2 linked regions of the Struthio camelus genome follow. The protein of the gene in region 1 purifies or fractionates together with the protein of each later gene. This does not show direct contact. Links are inferred from orthologs where the notes say so. Each region holds a gene or a part of one and is shown in the gene's direction. Other genes may lie near its edges.

Evidence for each region. Proteins that work in one complex are often made in the same cells at the same time.
Region 2: the proteins of CD2BP2 (region 1) and DHX38 purify together in Homo sapiens (affinity purification with mass spectrometry; 3 studies listed by BioGRID and IntAct, counting the BioPlex papers as one, with this or other methods). This does not show direct contact. The link is inferred for Struthio camelus from reciprocal best matches to the Homo sapiens genes CD2BP2 and DHX38.

Annotation. Positions count from the first base shown.
Region 1 is NC_090973.1:156,364-163,942, reverse strand, and holds the start of CD2BP2 (CD2 antigen cytoplasmic tail-binding protein 2), read left to right. Parts: upstream 1-4,217; 5' UTR 4,218-4,383; intron 4,384-5,240; 5' UTR 5,241-5,241; coding exon 5,242-5,310; intron 5,311-5,741; coding exon 5,742-5,865; intron 5,866-5,944; coding exon 5,945-6,102; intron 6,103-7,579. Other genes in the region: TBC1 domain family member 10B-like, read left to right, coding at 76-1,521. UniProt on the Homo sapiens protein: Involved in pre-mRNA splicing as component of the U5 snRNP complex that is involved in spliceosome assembly.
Region 2 is NC_090951.1:491,081-498,382, forward strand, and holds the start of DHX38 (pre-mRNA-splicing factor ATP-dependent RNA helicase PRP16), read left to right. Parts: upstream 1-3,983; 5' UTR 3,984-4,157; intron 4,158-4,711; 5' UTR 4,712-4,767; coding exon 4,768-5,096; intron 5,097-5,627; coding exon 5,628-5,815; intron 5,816-5,983; coding exon 5,984-6,088; intron 6,089-6,515; coding exon 6,516-6,681; intron 6,682-6,803; coding exon 6,804-6,922; intron 6,923-7,075; coding exon 7,076-7,152; intron 7,153-7,302. Other genes in the region: haptoglobin-like, read left to right, coding at 77-151, 285-1,069. UniProt on the Homo sapiens protein: Probable ATP-binding RNA helicase. Involved in pre-mRNA splicing as component of the spliceosome.

The DNA of each region.
Region 1 (7,579 bases):
CCGTGGGGCGGCAGGCGTGGGGCGGTGGGGCGGCGCGGGGCGGCGCGGGGACGCCGAGGTGCCGGCGGGCCGCAGGCGACGTCGCTGCCGGTGACGGAGGCGCTGATCGAGCGGGAGAGCGGGGCGCAGCTGCGGCGCTGGCGGGAGACGCGGGGCGAGCTGCAGCGCCCGCCGCCCCGGCGCCTGCACGGGGCCCGCGCCATCCTGGAGGAGCGGCAGCGCCGGGGGGGCCCCCCCGCCGCCCCCCCCCGCCGGGAGCCGGCGCCCGGCACGGAGGGGCGCCCGGAGCAGAGGCACCGGCTGGAGGCGCGCAAGGAGGGGTTGCACGAAGGGCAGACGTGCAAGGAGCGGTTGCACGAGGTGGAGACGTGCAAGGAGCGGTTGCACGAAGGGCAGACGTGCAAGGAGCAGTTGCACGAGGCGGAGGCGTGCAAGGAGCGGTTGCACGAGGCGGAGACGTGCAAGGAGCAGTTGCACGAGGTGGAGACGTGCAAGGAGCAGTTGCACGAGGTGGAGACGTGCAAGGAGCGGCTGCACGAGGCGGAGGCGTGCAAGGAGCGGTTGCACGAAGGGCAGACGTGCAAGGAGCAGTTGTACAAGGTGGAGACGTGCAAGGAGTGGTTGCACGAAGGGCAGACGTGCAAGGAGCAGTTGTACAAGGTGGAGACGTGCAAGGAGTGGTTGCATGAGGCGGAGACGTGCAAGGAGCAGTTGCACGAGGCGGAGACGTGCAAGGAGCAGTTGCACGAAGGGCAGACGTGCAAGGAGTGGCTGCACGAGGTGGAGACGTGCAAGGAGCAGTTGCACGAGGCGGAGACGTGCAAGGAGCAGTTGTACAAGGTGGAGACGTGCAAGGAGCGGTTGCACGAGGCGGAGACGTGCAAGGAGCGGTTGCACGAGGTGGAGACGTGCAAGGAGCAGTTGCACAAGGTGGAGACGTGCAAGGAGCAGTTGCACGAGGTGGAGATGTGCCAGGAGCGGTTGCACGAAGGAGAAGAGTGCAATGAACAATTGCACAAAGTGGAGGAGCGCCAGGAGCAATTGCACAAGACAGAAGAGCGCCAGGAGCGGCTGCACGAGGCGGAGACGTGCAAGGAGCAGTTGCACGACAAGCAGACGTGCCAGGAGCGGTTGCGCGAAGGAGAAGAGTGCGATGAACAATTGCAGGCAGCGCAGGAGCCCCAGGAGCAGCTGCCCAAAGCAGGGGAGCGCAACGAGCGCTTGCACAAGACAGAAGAGCGCCAGGAGCGGTTGCACGAGGCGGAGACGTGCAAGGAGCGGTTGCACGGGCCGGAGGGGCCCCAGGAGCGGCAGCGGGCGGCGCAGGGGTCCCGGCAGCGGCCGGCGGCCAGGGGGCTGCTGGAGAAGTGCCGGCAGCGGCTGCAGGGCAAGGGGGCGGCAGCGGCCCCCGAGAAGGCGCCATCGAAGCGGCCGGCGCGGAAGGCGGCGGCGGCGGCAGCGGCGGCACCAGGGGCGGCCGGGGACCGGGACCCCCCCGGGCGGCAGGACGCCTACTTCTGAGCCAGGTGGGAGTTGCCTCCGTCCGTCCCTCCATCCGTCCATCCCTCCCTCCATCCCTTCGTCCGTCCCTCCATCCATCCGTCCGTCCATCCCTCCGTCCCTCCCTCCATCCCTCCATCCATTCCTCCGTCCGTCCCTCCGTCCATCCCTCCCTCCATCCCTCCATCCATTCCTCCCTCCGTCCCTCCCTCCATCCCTCCATCCATCCGTCCGTCCATCCCTCCGTCCATCCCTCCGTCCATCCATCACTCTGCCCCTCCATCCCTCCATCCCTCCGTCCCTCCCTCCATCCCTCCATCCATTCCTCCCTCCGTCCGTCCATCCCTCCCTCCATCGCTCCAGCCGTCCCTCCATCTGTCCATCCCTCCGTCCCTCCGTCCGTCCATCCCTCCGTCCATCCCTCCCTCCAGACGCCCCCGGGATGGACGGCTCGGTTTGATCGGCAGCTGCCTTTGATTGACAGCTTGCTTTGATCGGCAGCTCTGGTTGACTGACAACTGCCTTTGATTGGCGGCTCCCTTCATTGGCAGCTGCCTTTGATTAATGATTCCCGCTGATTGACAGCTGCTTTTCACTGCTGGCTCCATTTGATTGACAGCTGCCATTGATTGACAGCCGCTGTGGGTGGCAGTTACCTTTGATTGACAGCTGCCTTTGATTGACAGTTGCGTGTGGTTGGCTGCCACCTTTGATTAGTGGATTGCATTGATTGACAGCTGCCTTTGATTGGCAGCTGCCGTTCATGCATGTGACCGCCGGCTTCGGAGTGACGCCCTGCCCAGCCTTTGATTGACACCCTCATTGGATTGATGGCTCCCTTTGATTGACAGGCCACCCCACCTTTGATTGACAGCTCCCCTTGATTGACAGCTCCCCATCCATCAACTCGCCGGCCTGCCTCCGGTTGACGGCTCCTGCGATTGATTGACAGCTCCTGGGATTGATCGATGGCTCCTGGGATTGATCGATGGCTCCTGGGATTGACCGCTCCTGCGATTGATTGACAGCTCCTGCGATTGATTGACAGCTCCTGGGATTGATCGATGGCTCCTGGGATTGATCGATGGCTCCTGGGATTGACCGCTCCTGTGATTGATTGATGGCTCCTGTGATAGACAGCTCCTGTGATTGATTGACAGCTCCTATGATTGACACTCCGGGCCCGGTGCCCCCCTCCCCCCCCGGGGCTGCCCGGACGCCTGGGCCCCCTCCTCCCCCCCCCCAGCGCTTATTTAACGGGACGACACTGGACCCCCCCCCCCCCGGACGCCCCTCGTTAGCGGCGGGTCGTTAGCGCCCCCCGTTCCGGGGGGGCTGCGGCTTTGTGGCTTCGTTTGAAGGAAAAAACAGCGAGACGGGGTTAACGAGGAGCCCCCAAACGAGCGGCCCGGCCCCGAGTCGTCCTTGGGGGCTGCGGGGGCGGTTTGGGGGGGCAGGAGCGGGGGGGGCTGAGGGAAACGGGGGATTTGGGGGGGGAAGGGGCGTTTTGGGGGGTCCCAGGCGGTTCGGGGGGGCAGGAGTGGGGGGGGCTGAGGGAAACGGGAGATTTGGGGGGGAAAGGGGTGTTTTGGGGGGTCCCAGGCGGTTCGGGGGGGCAGGAGCGGGGAGGGCTGAGGGAAACGGGAGATTTGGGGGGAAAGGGGCGTTTTGGGGGGTCCCAGGCGGTTCGGGGGGGCAGGAGCGGGGGGGGCTGAGGGAAACGGGGGATTTGGGGGGGAAAGGGGCGTTTTGGGGGGTCCCAGGCGGTTCGGGGGGGCAGGAGCGGGGGGGGCTGAGGGAAACGGGGGATTTGGGGGGGGAAGGGGCGTTTTGGGGGGTCCCAGGCGGTTCGGGGGGGCAGGAGTGGGGGGGGCTGAGGGAAACGGGAGATTTGGGGGGGAAAGGGGTGTTTTGGGGGGTCCCAGGCGGTTCGGGGGGGCAGGAGCGGGGAGGGCTGAGGGAAACGGGAGATTTGGGGGGGAAAGGGGCGTTTTGGGGGGTCCCAGGCGGTTCGGGGGGGCAGGAGCGGGGGGGGCTGAGGGAAACGGGGGATTTGGGGGGGAAAGGGGCGTTTTGGGGGGTCCCAGGCGGTTCGGGGGGGCAGGAGCGGGGGGGGCTGAGGGAAACGGGGGATTTGGGGGGGGAAGGGGCGTTTTGGGGGGTCCCAGGCGGTTCGGGGGGGCAGGAGCGGGGGGGGCTGAGGGAAACGGGGGATTTGGGGGGGGAAGGGGCGTTTTGGGGGGTCCCAGGCGGTTCGGGGGGGCAGGAGCGGGGGGGGCTGAGGGAAACGAGGGATTTGGGGGGGGAAGGGGCGTTTTGGGGGGTCCCAGGCGGTTCGGGGGGGCAGGAGCGGGGGGGGCTGAGGGAAACGAGGGATTTGGGGGGGGAAGGGGCGTTTTGGGGGGTCCCAGGCGGTTCGGGGGGGCAGGAGTGGGGGGGGCTGAGGGAAACGGGAGATTTGGGGGGGAAAGGGGTGTTTTGGGGGGTCCCAGGCGGTTCGGGGGGGCAGGAGCGGGGGGGGCTGAGGGAAACGGGGGATTTGGGGGGGGGGAAGGGTGGGTTTGGGGGTCTCCCAGGCGGTTTGGGGTGGTTTCAGGAGGAAATGGAGGGCTGGGGGTGGCTCGGGGTGTTGAGGGGGGTTTGGGGGGGGAAGGGAGTTTTGGGGGATCCCGGGGGAAATGGGGGTCACGTGGGGCTGGGGGGGCAGGGCCAGGGTGGGTGGGGGAGGAAATGGGGTCGCGGCCCCTTTAAGAGCTGCCCACACTGCCCGCCGGCGCTGAAGCCGCAGTCCTGCCCGGGCCGTGACGCCACTTCCGCCCTGCCGCCCGCCCTGCCCCGGAAGTGCTTCCGTCGCGGTAGCGCAGCCACCGGCGGGGCCGCGGGGTGAGCGGCCCGCGCGCGCCTTACCGGGGGTGGGGGGGTGGGGGGGGTTCATTTACATATTCAAATGAGGCACCCCGCGGCGCCCCTGGGAGCCGCCCCCTGGGGGGCGGTTTTGGGGGGGTTTGGGGCAGTTTAGGGGGCGGCCCAGAGCCCGGGGGGAGCCGGGACCCCACGGCCGAGTCGGGGAGCTTCGAGGGGTCCCCGTGGGCGGCGGCGGGTGGCGAGCGCCGCCAGTCGCCGTGGCCTGGGGGCGGGGGGGAGGGGCTTTAGTATGGGCGTGGCGAGCGCGGCTCATTTGCATATGCAAATAGGAGGTGTGTTAACGGGGGGTTAATGGGGGGGGACGATGGGGTTAAGAGCGGGCTGGTGGGGGCCTTAATGGGGGGGGGGTCAAGGGGGCTGTTAACGGGGGTTATTGGGGGCAGTTAATGAGCTGCTGGGGATTAACGGGCCTTAATGGGGCAAACGGGGGCTACTGGGGGGGAATGGGGAGCTAATGAGGGCCAGGGGGCAGTTAACGGGGGCTGCTACTGGGGGGTCACTGGGAGTCACTGGGAGCTGTTAGTGGGGGTTACTGGGGGCTGGTAATGGGGGTCACTGGGGGCTGGTAGTGGGGTGGTTACTGGGGGTCACTGGGGGCTGGTAGGGGGGGTCACTGGGGGTGACTGGGGGCTGGTAGTGGGGGGTTACTGGGGGTCACTGGGGGCTGGTAGTGGGGGGTTACTGGGGGTGACTGGGGGCTGGTAGGGGGGTCACTGGGGGCTGGTGGCGGAGGCTGTTCGTGGGGCTAACGAGGGGCCACGGGGGCGTCGCTAACGAGGGGCCGTTAACGGAGCTGCGTGCCCCCCCCCCCCCAGCATGGCCAAGCGCAAGGTGACGTTCGAGGACCCCGAGGACGAGGAGGAGCCGGGGCCCCCCCGCAAGAGGGTGAGGGGCTGGGGGGCACCGGGGGGGGCCAGGGGCTGCTGGGGGGCACCAGGGGGCTAGTGGGGGCGGCTGGGGGGCACCGAGGGGCAGCTGTGGGGCGCTGGGGGGCAGCCGAACCTGGGGACTGTGCAGGCCCCAGGACCCCTGGGTGAGCTGTGGGGCAGCTGGAGGGTGCCGGGGGGCTGGAGCTGGGGGTTGTGGGGGCCCCAGGGGCTGGGGGGCTGCCGTGGGGGGGGCGTGGGTCGCCGTGGGTCACGGTGGGGCTGACCCACACGGGGGGCGGGGGCCGTGGGTCATGGCGGGGGTCACGGTGGGGCTGACCCACGCAGGAGGCGGGGGCTGTGGGGGGCCGGGGGTCACGGTGGGGCTGACCCACGCAGGAGGCGGGGGCCGTGGGGGGCCGGGGGTCACGGTGGGGCTGACCCACGCAGGAGGCGGGGGCCGTGGGGGGCCCCGGGAGCCGGTTCCCGGGGAAGCACTCGCTGGACAGCGACGAGGAGGACGAGGCCGAAGGCAGCAGCAAGTACGACGTGCTGGCGCCCCACGACGTGGAGGGTGAGCGGGGCGCCGGGGGTCGCCGTGGGGCGGCGGGGGGTGGCCGGGGGTCGCCGTGGGGCGCTGACCCCCGTCTCAGGGCAGGAGGCGGCGACGCTGGAGGCCGAGGGCGGGGTGCCCGTCACCCCCTTCAACCTGCAGGAGGAGATGGCCGAGGGGCACTTCGACTCCGAGGGCAACTACTTCCCGCGGCGCGAGAAGCTGCTCCGGGACAGCTGGCTGGACAACATCGACTGGGTGAGGGGGGACACGGGGACCTGGGGGACACCAGGGACGGGCTGGAGAACCTCGATGGGACATGGGGACACAGCAGGGTGCAGGGACATGGGGGACACCAGGGACAGGCTGGAGAACCTCAATGGGACATGGGGACACAGTGGGATGCAGGGACATGGGGGAACACCAAGGACAGGCTGGAGCACCTCAATGGGACGTGGGGGACATGGTGGAGGATGCCAGGGATAGCTTGGAGCATCTCAATGGGACGTGGGGGACATAGTGGAGGACATGGGGACAGGCTGGAGCACCTCAATGGGACGTAGGGGACACAGGGGACGGGCTGGAGCACATTAATGGGACGTGGGGGACATGGTGGGGGACACCGGGGACGGGCTGGAGCACCTCAACGGGACGTGGGGGACACCAAGGACAGGCTGGAGCACCTCAATGGGACATGGGGGACGTGGTGGAGGACATGGGGACAGGCTGGAGCACCTCAACGGGACGTGGGGGACGTGGTGGAGGACATGGGGACAGGCTGGAGCACCCCAACGGGACGTGGGGGACACCAAGGACAGGCTGGAGCACCTCAATGGGACATGGGGGACATGGTGGGGGACACCGGGGACGGGCTGGAGCACCTCAACGGGACGTGGGGGACATGGTGGAGGACATGGGGACAGGCTGGAGCACCTCAACGGGACGTGGGGGACACCAACGACAGGCTGGAGCACCTCAATGGGACGTGGGGGACATGGTGGAGGACACCGGGGACGGGCTGGAACACCTCAATGGGACGTGGGGGACATGGTGGGGGACACCGGGGGACGGGCTGGAGCACCTCAACGGGATGTGGGGGACATGGTGGAGGACACTGGGGACGGGCTGGAGCACCTCAATGGGACGTGGGGGACATGGTGGGGGACACCGGGGGACGGGCTGGAGCACCTCAACGGGACGTGGGGGACATGGTGGAGGACATGGGGACAGGCTGGAGCACCTCAATGGGATGTGGGGGACACCGGGGACGGGCTGGAGCACCTCAACGGGACGTGGGGGACGTGGTGGAGGACACCGGGGACGGGCTGGAGCACCTCAACGGGACGTGGGGGACATGGTGGAGGACACCGGGGACGGGCTGGAGCACCTCAACGGGATGTGGGGGACATGGTGGGGGACACCGGGGGATGGGCTGGAGCACCTCAACGGGACATGGGGGACATAGTGGAGGACATGGGGACGGGCTGGAGCACCTCAAGGGGACGTAGGGGACACCGGGGACGGGCTGGAGCACCTCAACGGGACATGAGGGACATAGTGGAGGACATGGGGACAGGCTGGAGCACCTCAACGGGATTTGGGGGACACCAAGGACAGGCTGGAGCACCTCAATGGGACGTGGGGGACATGGTGGAGGACACCGGGGACGGGCTGGAGCACCTCAATGGGACGTGGGGGACGTGGTGGGGGACACCGGGGACGGGCTGGAGCACCT
Region 2 (7,302 bases), on another chromosome or scaffold:
GGGCCGCCTGCGCCTGCCGGGCCCCGGCCCCGGCGCCCCGCTGCGGCCGGGCGCCGACCCCCTCCTGCCTCTGCAGGCACGTACGAGTGCCACGAGAAGCACGTGTGGGTGAACGCCGAGGCCGGAGAGGAGCTGCCCGTCTGCGAGCCGGGTGAGCGGCCTGGGCTGGCGGGCTAGGGGCTGCCGCAGCCGGGCTGCCTGCAGCAGGAGCCCCCTGCGCCGGGGCCGCCAGGCGCCCCTGGGGCGAGCGGCGGGGGCTCACGGGGCCTCGTCCTCCTCGGCAGTGTGCGGGAAGCCGGCGCACCCGGCCACGCAGACGCAGCGCATCATCGGGGGCCTGCTGGCCGGCAAGGGCAGCTTCCCCTGGCAGGGCCGGCTGGTGACGCGCCACAACCTCACCGTGGGGGCCACGCTCATCAGCGACCAGTGGCTGCTGACCACCGGCAGGAACGTCTACCTGAACCACAGCGCGGACGCCGACCCGGCCGAGATCGCCCCCACGCTGCAGCTCTTCCTGGGCGGCAAGGAGCAGCTCGCCCCGCGGGTGGAGCGCATCGTGCTGCACCCCGAGTACCCCAAGGCCGTGGACCTGGCCTTGCTCAAGCTCAAGGAGAAGGTGCTGCTGGGAGAGGAGGTGATGCCCATCTGCCTGGCGCAGAAGGACTACCTGCAGCCAGGGCGGGTGGGCTATGTGGCGGGCTGGGGCCGCGGGGCCACCTTCGCCTTCTCAGACCTGCTGAAGTACGTGATGCTGCCGGTGGCGGAGAGCGAGAAGTGCGCAGAGTACTACGCGGCCCGGGGACCCCACGGCGTGCCGCCCCTCCTCAGCAAGCACACCTTCTGCGTGGGCATGAGCGAGCTGCGGGAGGACACGTGCTACGGGGACGCCGGCGGGGCGTTCGCCGTGCGGGACCCCGAGGACGACACCTGGTACGCCGCCGGCATCCTCAGCTACGACAAGACCTGCTCGGCCTCCAAGTATGGCGTCTACGTCAGCGTGGAGCACGTCCTCGACTGGGTGAAGCAGACCCTGGCCGACGATGGGGCCGGGGCTGCCAGCCCGCAATAAACCACCCCGCGCCTCGCCAACGGCTCCGGTGCCTCTGTCGCTGCCTCCCTGCGCTGCACGCACACGTGTGTGTGCATGCTGCACCTATGTGTCTGTGGGGGGGGGTGTGCGCGTGCATGCGTGTGTGTGTACACTGCACCCAGGGCTGTGTGTGTGTCCCTGCCTCTGGGGTGCACGTGGGGTGCCCCTTTTCCCCCACCGTGAGTCTGTGGGATCCCCCCACATGGCTCGATGGGATTCCCCCCCCATGTGGGTCTCCAGGATCACCCCTGTGTGGGTCTGTGGGATCCCCCCCCCCCATGTGGATCTTCCAGGATCGCCCCTGTGTGGGTCAGTGGGATCACAGAATCACAGAATGGTTGAGGTTGGAAGGGACCTCTGGAGATCATCTAGTCCAACCCCTCTGCTCAAGCAGGGTCCTCTAGAGCACGTTGCCCAGGATCATGTCCAGGTGGGTTTTGAATATCTCCAGGGAAGGAGACCCCACAACCTCTCTGGGCAACCTGTTCCAGTGCTCTGTCCCCCTCACAGGAAAGAAGTTCTTCCTCGTGTTCAGACAGAACTTCCTGTGTTTCCGTTTGTGCCCGTTGCCTCTTGTCCTGTCGCTGGGCACCACAGAGAAGAGCCTGGCCCCATCCTCTTGACACCCTCCCTTCAGACACTTGTATACATCTCATATTGTATACAATACATCTCATATACCCTCAGCCTTCTCTCCAGGCTGAACAGGCCCAGCTCTCTCAGCCTTTTGCTCACGTGAGAGATGCTCCAGTCCCCTCCTCATCTTTGCAGCCCTCTGCTGGACTCTCTCCAGCAGTGCCATGTCTCTCTTGCACTGGGGAGCCCAGAACTGGACACAGTACTCCAGGTGAGGCCTCCCCAGGGCTGAGGAGAGGGGCAGGATCACCTCCCTCCACCTGCTGGCAACACTCTGCCCCATGCAGCCCAGGATCCCATTGGCCTTCTTGGCTGCAAGGGCACACTGCTGGCTCATGCTTAACTTGTTGTCCACCAGGGCTCCCAGGTCCTTCTCTGCAGAGCTGCTTTCCAGCAGGTGTGTCCTGTCCTGGTGCCTGGGGTTATTCCTCTCCAACCTCTCCTGATGCATGGGGTTATTCCTCTCCAGGTGCAGGACCCTGCACTTGCCTTTGTTGAACTTCATGAGTTTCCTCTCTGCCCAACTCTCCAGCCTGTCCAGGTCCCTCTGAATGGCAGCACAGCCTCCTGGTGTGTCAGCCACTCCTCCCAGTTTAGTATCATCAGCAAACTTGCTGAGGAGGCACTCTGTCCCTTCACTCAGGTCATTGATGAACACATTGAACAAGAGTGGACCCAGTACTGGCCCCTGGTGGACACCGCTAGCTACAGGGCTCCAACTAGGCTGCACCACTGACCACAACCCTCTGAGCTCTGTCATCCAGCCAGTTCTCAATCCACCTCACTGTCCACTCAGCCAACCGACGCTTTCTGAGTTTACCTAGGAGGATGGGATGGGAGACAGTGTCAGAAGCCTCGCTGAAGTCCAGGTAGACACCATCCACTGCTCTGCCCTCATCTACCCAGCCAGTCATCCCATCAGAGAAGGCTATCAGATTGGTCAAGCATGATTCCCCTTTGGTGAAGCCATGCTGACTACTCCTGATCACCTGCTTGTCCTCCTCATGCTTGGGGGAGGACCTCCAAGATGAGTTGTTCCATCCCCTTTCCAGCGATGCAGGTGAGGCTGACAGGCCTGTAGTTTCCTGGCTCCTCCTTCTGGCCCTTTGGGAAGACTGGCATGACACTGGCTTTCTTCCAGGCCTCAGGCACCTCTCCTGTTCTCCAGGACCTTTCCAAGATGATGAAGAGTGGCCTAGCAATAACATCTGCCAGTTTCCTCAGCGCTTGTGGGTGCATCCCATTGGGGCCCATGGATTTGTTGATGTCAAGTTTCCACAAATGATCTCTAACCTGATCCTCCTTGACCAAGGGAGAGTCTTCCTTTCTCCAGACTTCCTCTCTTGTCCTCAGGGTCTGGAATTCCTCAGGACTGGCCTTAGCAGGAGAGACTGAAGCAAAGAAGGCATTCAGCAGCTCTGCCTTCTTGCCTTCTCTGTCACCAGGGCACCCGCCCCATTCAGCAGCAGGCCCACGTTTTCCCTAGTCTTCCTTGTGCTATTGATGTATTTGAAGAACCCCTTCTTGTTGTCCTTGACATCCCTTGACAGATTTAATTCCAACTGGGCCTTAGCCTTCCTTGTCGCATCCCTGCACACTCTGACAACGTCCCTGTATTCCTCCCAAGTGGCCTGTCCCCTTTTCCACATTCTGTACACTTCCTTCTTCTGTTGGACTTTTGTCAGGAGTTCCTCACTCATCCATGCAGGTCTCCTGCCCTCTTTGCTCGACTTCTTACTCAGAGGGATGCACCCGTCTTGAACCTGCTGGAAGTGATAACTGAATGTTAACCAGCTCTCCTGGACCCCCCTTCCTTCTAGGGCCTTATCCCATGGGACTCCTCCAAGTAGGGCCCTGAAGAGGCCACAGTTGGCTCTCCTGAAGTCCAGGGTTGCGATCCTGCTTATTGCCCTGCTCTCTCCTTGCAGGATCCTGAACTCCACCACCTCATGGTCACTGCAGCCTGCCCCCAACCTTCACGTCTCCAACCGGACCTTGTTTGTTTGTTAGTACAAGGTCTAGCAGCGCACCTCTCCCTGTGGGTCCGTGGGATCCCCCCGTGTGGGTCTCCGGGATCCCTTCGTGTGGGTCCATGGGGGTCCCCCCCGTGTGGGTCCGTGGGATGTCCCCGCCGGTCTCCGGGCTCCGCCCCCCGTGCGGCTCCGCCCCCCGTGCGGCTCCGCCCCCTTCTCGCTCCCGCCCGCGGCCACGTGACCTCACGCACGTTTCCCTACGCCGGAAGTGCGCTGGCCTCCCTGTGGCGCGTGCTGTCTAGCCACCCTTGAACTCTATGGTAGGTGGTGCGGCCGGGCCCCGGCTGGCACGTCGATGGTGCGCGTGGGCTAGAGCGGCTCTTCTCGCGGAGCACTGTGGGGCGGCAATGGCGGCGCTCAGGGCGCTGGCCTGCGGTCGCTGAGGCAACTGCCGGCAGGTGTGGGGGCCGGGCCGGGGAGGGAAGGGGAGCGGAGCGGGGCCGGGGAGCGGAGCGGAGGGGGGCCGGGGAGGAGAGCGGGGCCGGGGAGGGGAGCGGGGCCGGGGAGCGGAGCGGAGGGGGGCCGGGGAGGGGAGCGGGGCCGGGGAGCGGAGCGGAGGGGGGCCGGGGAGGAGAGCGGGGCCGGGGAGCGGAGCGGAGGGGGGCCGGGGAGGGGAGCGGGGCCAGGGAGCGGAGCGGAGGGGGGCCGGGGAGCGGAGCGGAGGGGGGGCCGGGGAGGAGAGCGGGGCCGGGGAGGAGAGCGGGCCCGGGGAGGGGAGCGGAGGGGGGCCGGGGAGGGGAGCGGGGCCGGGGAGGAGAGCGGGCCCGGGGAGGGGAGCGGAGGGGGGCCGGGGAGGGGAGCGGGGCCGGGGAGCGGAGCGGGGCCGGGGAGGGGAGCGGGGCCCGGCCGGCCCGGCCCGGGGGAGGCGGCGGGGCTGGGGAGGAGAGCGGGGTCCGGTCCGGCCCGGGGGAGGCGGCCGGCGGCGCTACCCCCGCTGAGCCGTGCCCCGCAGCCCATGGGTGCCGACCGCGGCCCGGCCGCCCGGCCCCTTGCGGCGTGGTAGCGGCGATGGGCGAGGCGGGCGAGGAGTCGCTGCACCGGCTGGCGGGGACGAGCGCGGACGGCGAGGCCGGCGGGCTGGTCGTGCGGAAGCGGAGCGCCGCTGCCGAGCAGCACGTCTTCAAGGCGCCGGCGCCGCGGGCCTCCCTGCTGGGCCTGGACGTGCTGGCAGCCCAGAAGCGGCGGGAGCGCGAGGAGGAGGCCGGCGGGAAGCGCTCCCGCGTGTCCTCCTACAGGGACTGGGAGGAGGGCCGGGACGAGGCGGGCAGCCCCGCCGAGGAGGAGGACGACGAAGAGGAGGAGAGCGACCCAAGCAGTCGGAGCGGCCGCAAAGACAGGTAGGGGCTGCCTGGGGGTCTCTGGGGCTGCTGGGGGCACCGGGCGTTTAGCAGCCGCGGGGCCCCCGCTGGGAGGACCGAACGCGAGCGTGCTCTGTGGCGATGTGCAGTTGCTCCGTGTCTGCGGGGGCCAAGCTCTGTGACAAGCAGGTGCCTGCATGGCAAGGAGGTCTGGAGGTCTCCTCGGCAGAGGCCTGTAGAACAGTTCTGCAGGTCTGAGAAGGTCTGGGAAAGGCTTTTTGCTGGTGCCTTCCTTGAGACGTCAGAGCCCGGAGCGTTCATGAGTGCTGTTAGGCCTGAAAAAGCCAGTCATCCTATCCATGTGACTGGCTGGCTCTGTGTCTGTGGAGGCTGCGGTCTGCTCATAGCTGAAAACAGGAACAGACCTGCTGGGCTGTTAGAAAAGGATGGGGAGAGCATTTCTGGCTGCACACTCCTGCTGTAGCAGAGACTAGGACTAGAGTTGCATGAAGGCAAGTCAAGGGCCAGCTATTCCTCAGCACTCTTCTTCTCTCCGCTCTGACTCCCCAGGCATTACCGTTCTGCCCACGTGGAGACACCTTCCTACACAGGGGGTGTGAGTGAGGAGTTTTGGGAACGCAGCCGGCAGCGGGAAAGGGAGCGTCGGGAGCAAGGTGTCTTTGCTTCCTCTAAGGAGGAGAAGGAACGAAAGAAGGAACGCAGTAGGGATCGGGACCATGACCGTAAACGGGACCGAGGTAACTGCTCTAAGATCTTTGTGACTCTTCCTGCTTAGAGCCTTTGGGCCCGTTCCTCAGCATCTTTGTAGTCTTTGAGTAATCTTTAGGATGTTCTCTAGGGCAGACTTGGGAAGCCTGCTTGTGCAGTGAGCACCTAATCTTACCTATCTTATCCTCTGTCCACAGAGGAGCGGGACAAAAGTCGTCACAGCAGCAGATCAGAAAGGGATGGCTCATCAGAGCGGAGCAGCAGGAGGAGTGAACCAGAGAGTCCGAGACACAGACCGAAAGGTAGGAGTGCGACCTAGTGGGACACTGCCTTAATGGGAAGGGTTACATTCCTTTTTTGGGTTGCTGCTCTTTTTACCTGGGCAAGCGTGGGTAAAAATGTCTGTATTTTCTAAGGTCTGTGGTTAGGGCAAGCGTAAAGCTACTAGCTTTTCCTGGACGTGGGCCTGGGAGTGATCCTGCCAGTTGTGTGTGGAAGTCTGCCTGATCCCAGCCCTCTGGGGAGCTCTTCTGGGTCTGTGTGATAAGGATATGGTCCTCTGTCCGTTTTCCTTTGACTTACTGGGTCAGGTCCATCTCTTATCTCTTAGAGGGAGAGCGAACGGGTACTCTGTCTCCGTGCTCCTTGCTAAAAGGTGTAAGGTGACACCAGTGCCAGGTGCCCTGGCTCACTGTGCGAGCATCAGATGTCAAACCCCATCTCTTCTAGATTCAGCCACACCATCTCGCTCCAGCTGGGAGGAGGATGATAGTGGTTACAGCAGTACCCGCCGCTCACAGTGGGAATCTCCATCGCCTGTGTCTTCCTATCGGGACTCTGAGCGCAGCCACAGGGCGTCGTCCTTGCGAGACACAGATCGAAGAGATCGGGACAGGTATCAGAACCTGGAACAAAGGACCGTGGCTATGAGTTGGTGATCTGCAGAAGAAGGAAGGGCACGTGCAAGAGCAGTACCTGGCTGTCGGCATTAATTTTTCCCTCGTGCTGTTTCCTCAGGTCTGTGAGGAGCAGGTACTGGGATAAGACGCCGTTGCCCACCCCATCGTACAAATATAATGAGTGGGCTGATGACCGGAGACACTTGGGGGCCACGCCACGGCTGTCCAGAGGTAAAGGTGAGGAGCCTGGGGCTGGGCTGCTATGCTGGGGAATGGCTTAATCCTCCTCTTCACCCTCTACAGCATAAGGAAAGGTTCTGTGGGATTCCCTCCACAAGTGGCAGTGGGGTAGGGCTGGGGGGCCTATATTGACTAGTTTGCTTTCTCTAGGGCGGCGTGAAGATGGGGAAGAGGGCATTGCCTTTGAGACGGAGGAGGAGCGGCAGCAGTGGGAGGATGACCAGCGGGTAAGAGCCCCTGCAGGTGGTCTGGGAGCTGGGTGCCCAGCAGACGTCTGGCTTTGCGCTGCCCACCTTTTGCCCCAGAGGAGCAGGGAGAGCTGGGCGGGCCTGGGGCCTTGGGGGCTGCTGTTCCTGGCTGAGAGCAGCCGGTGCAGT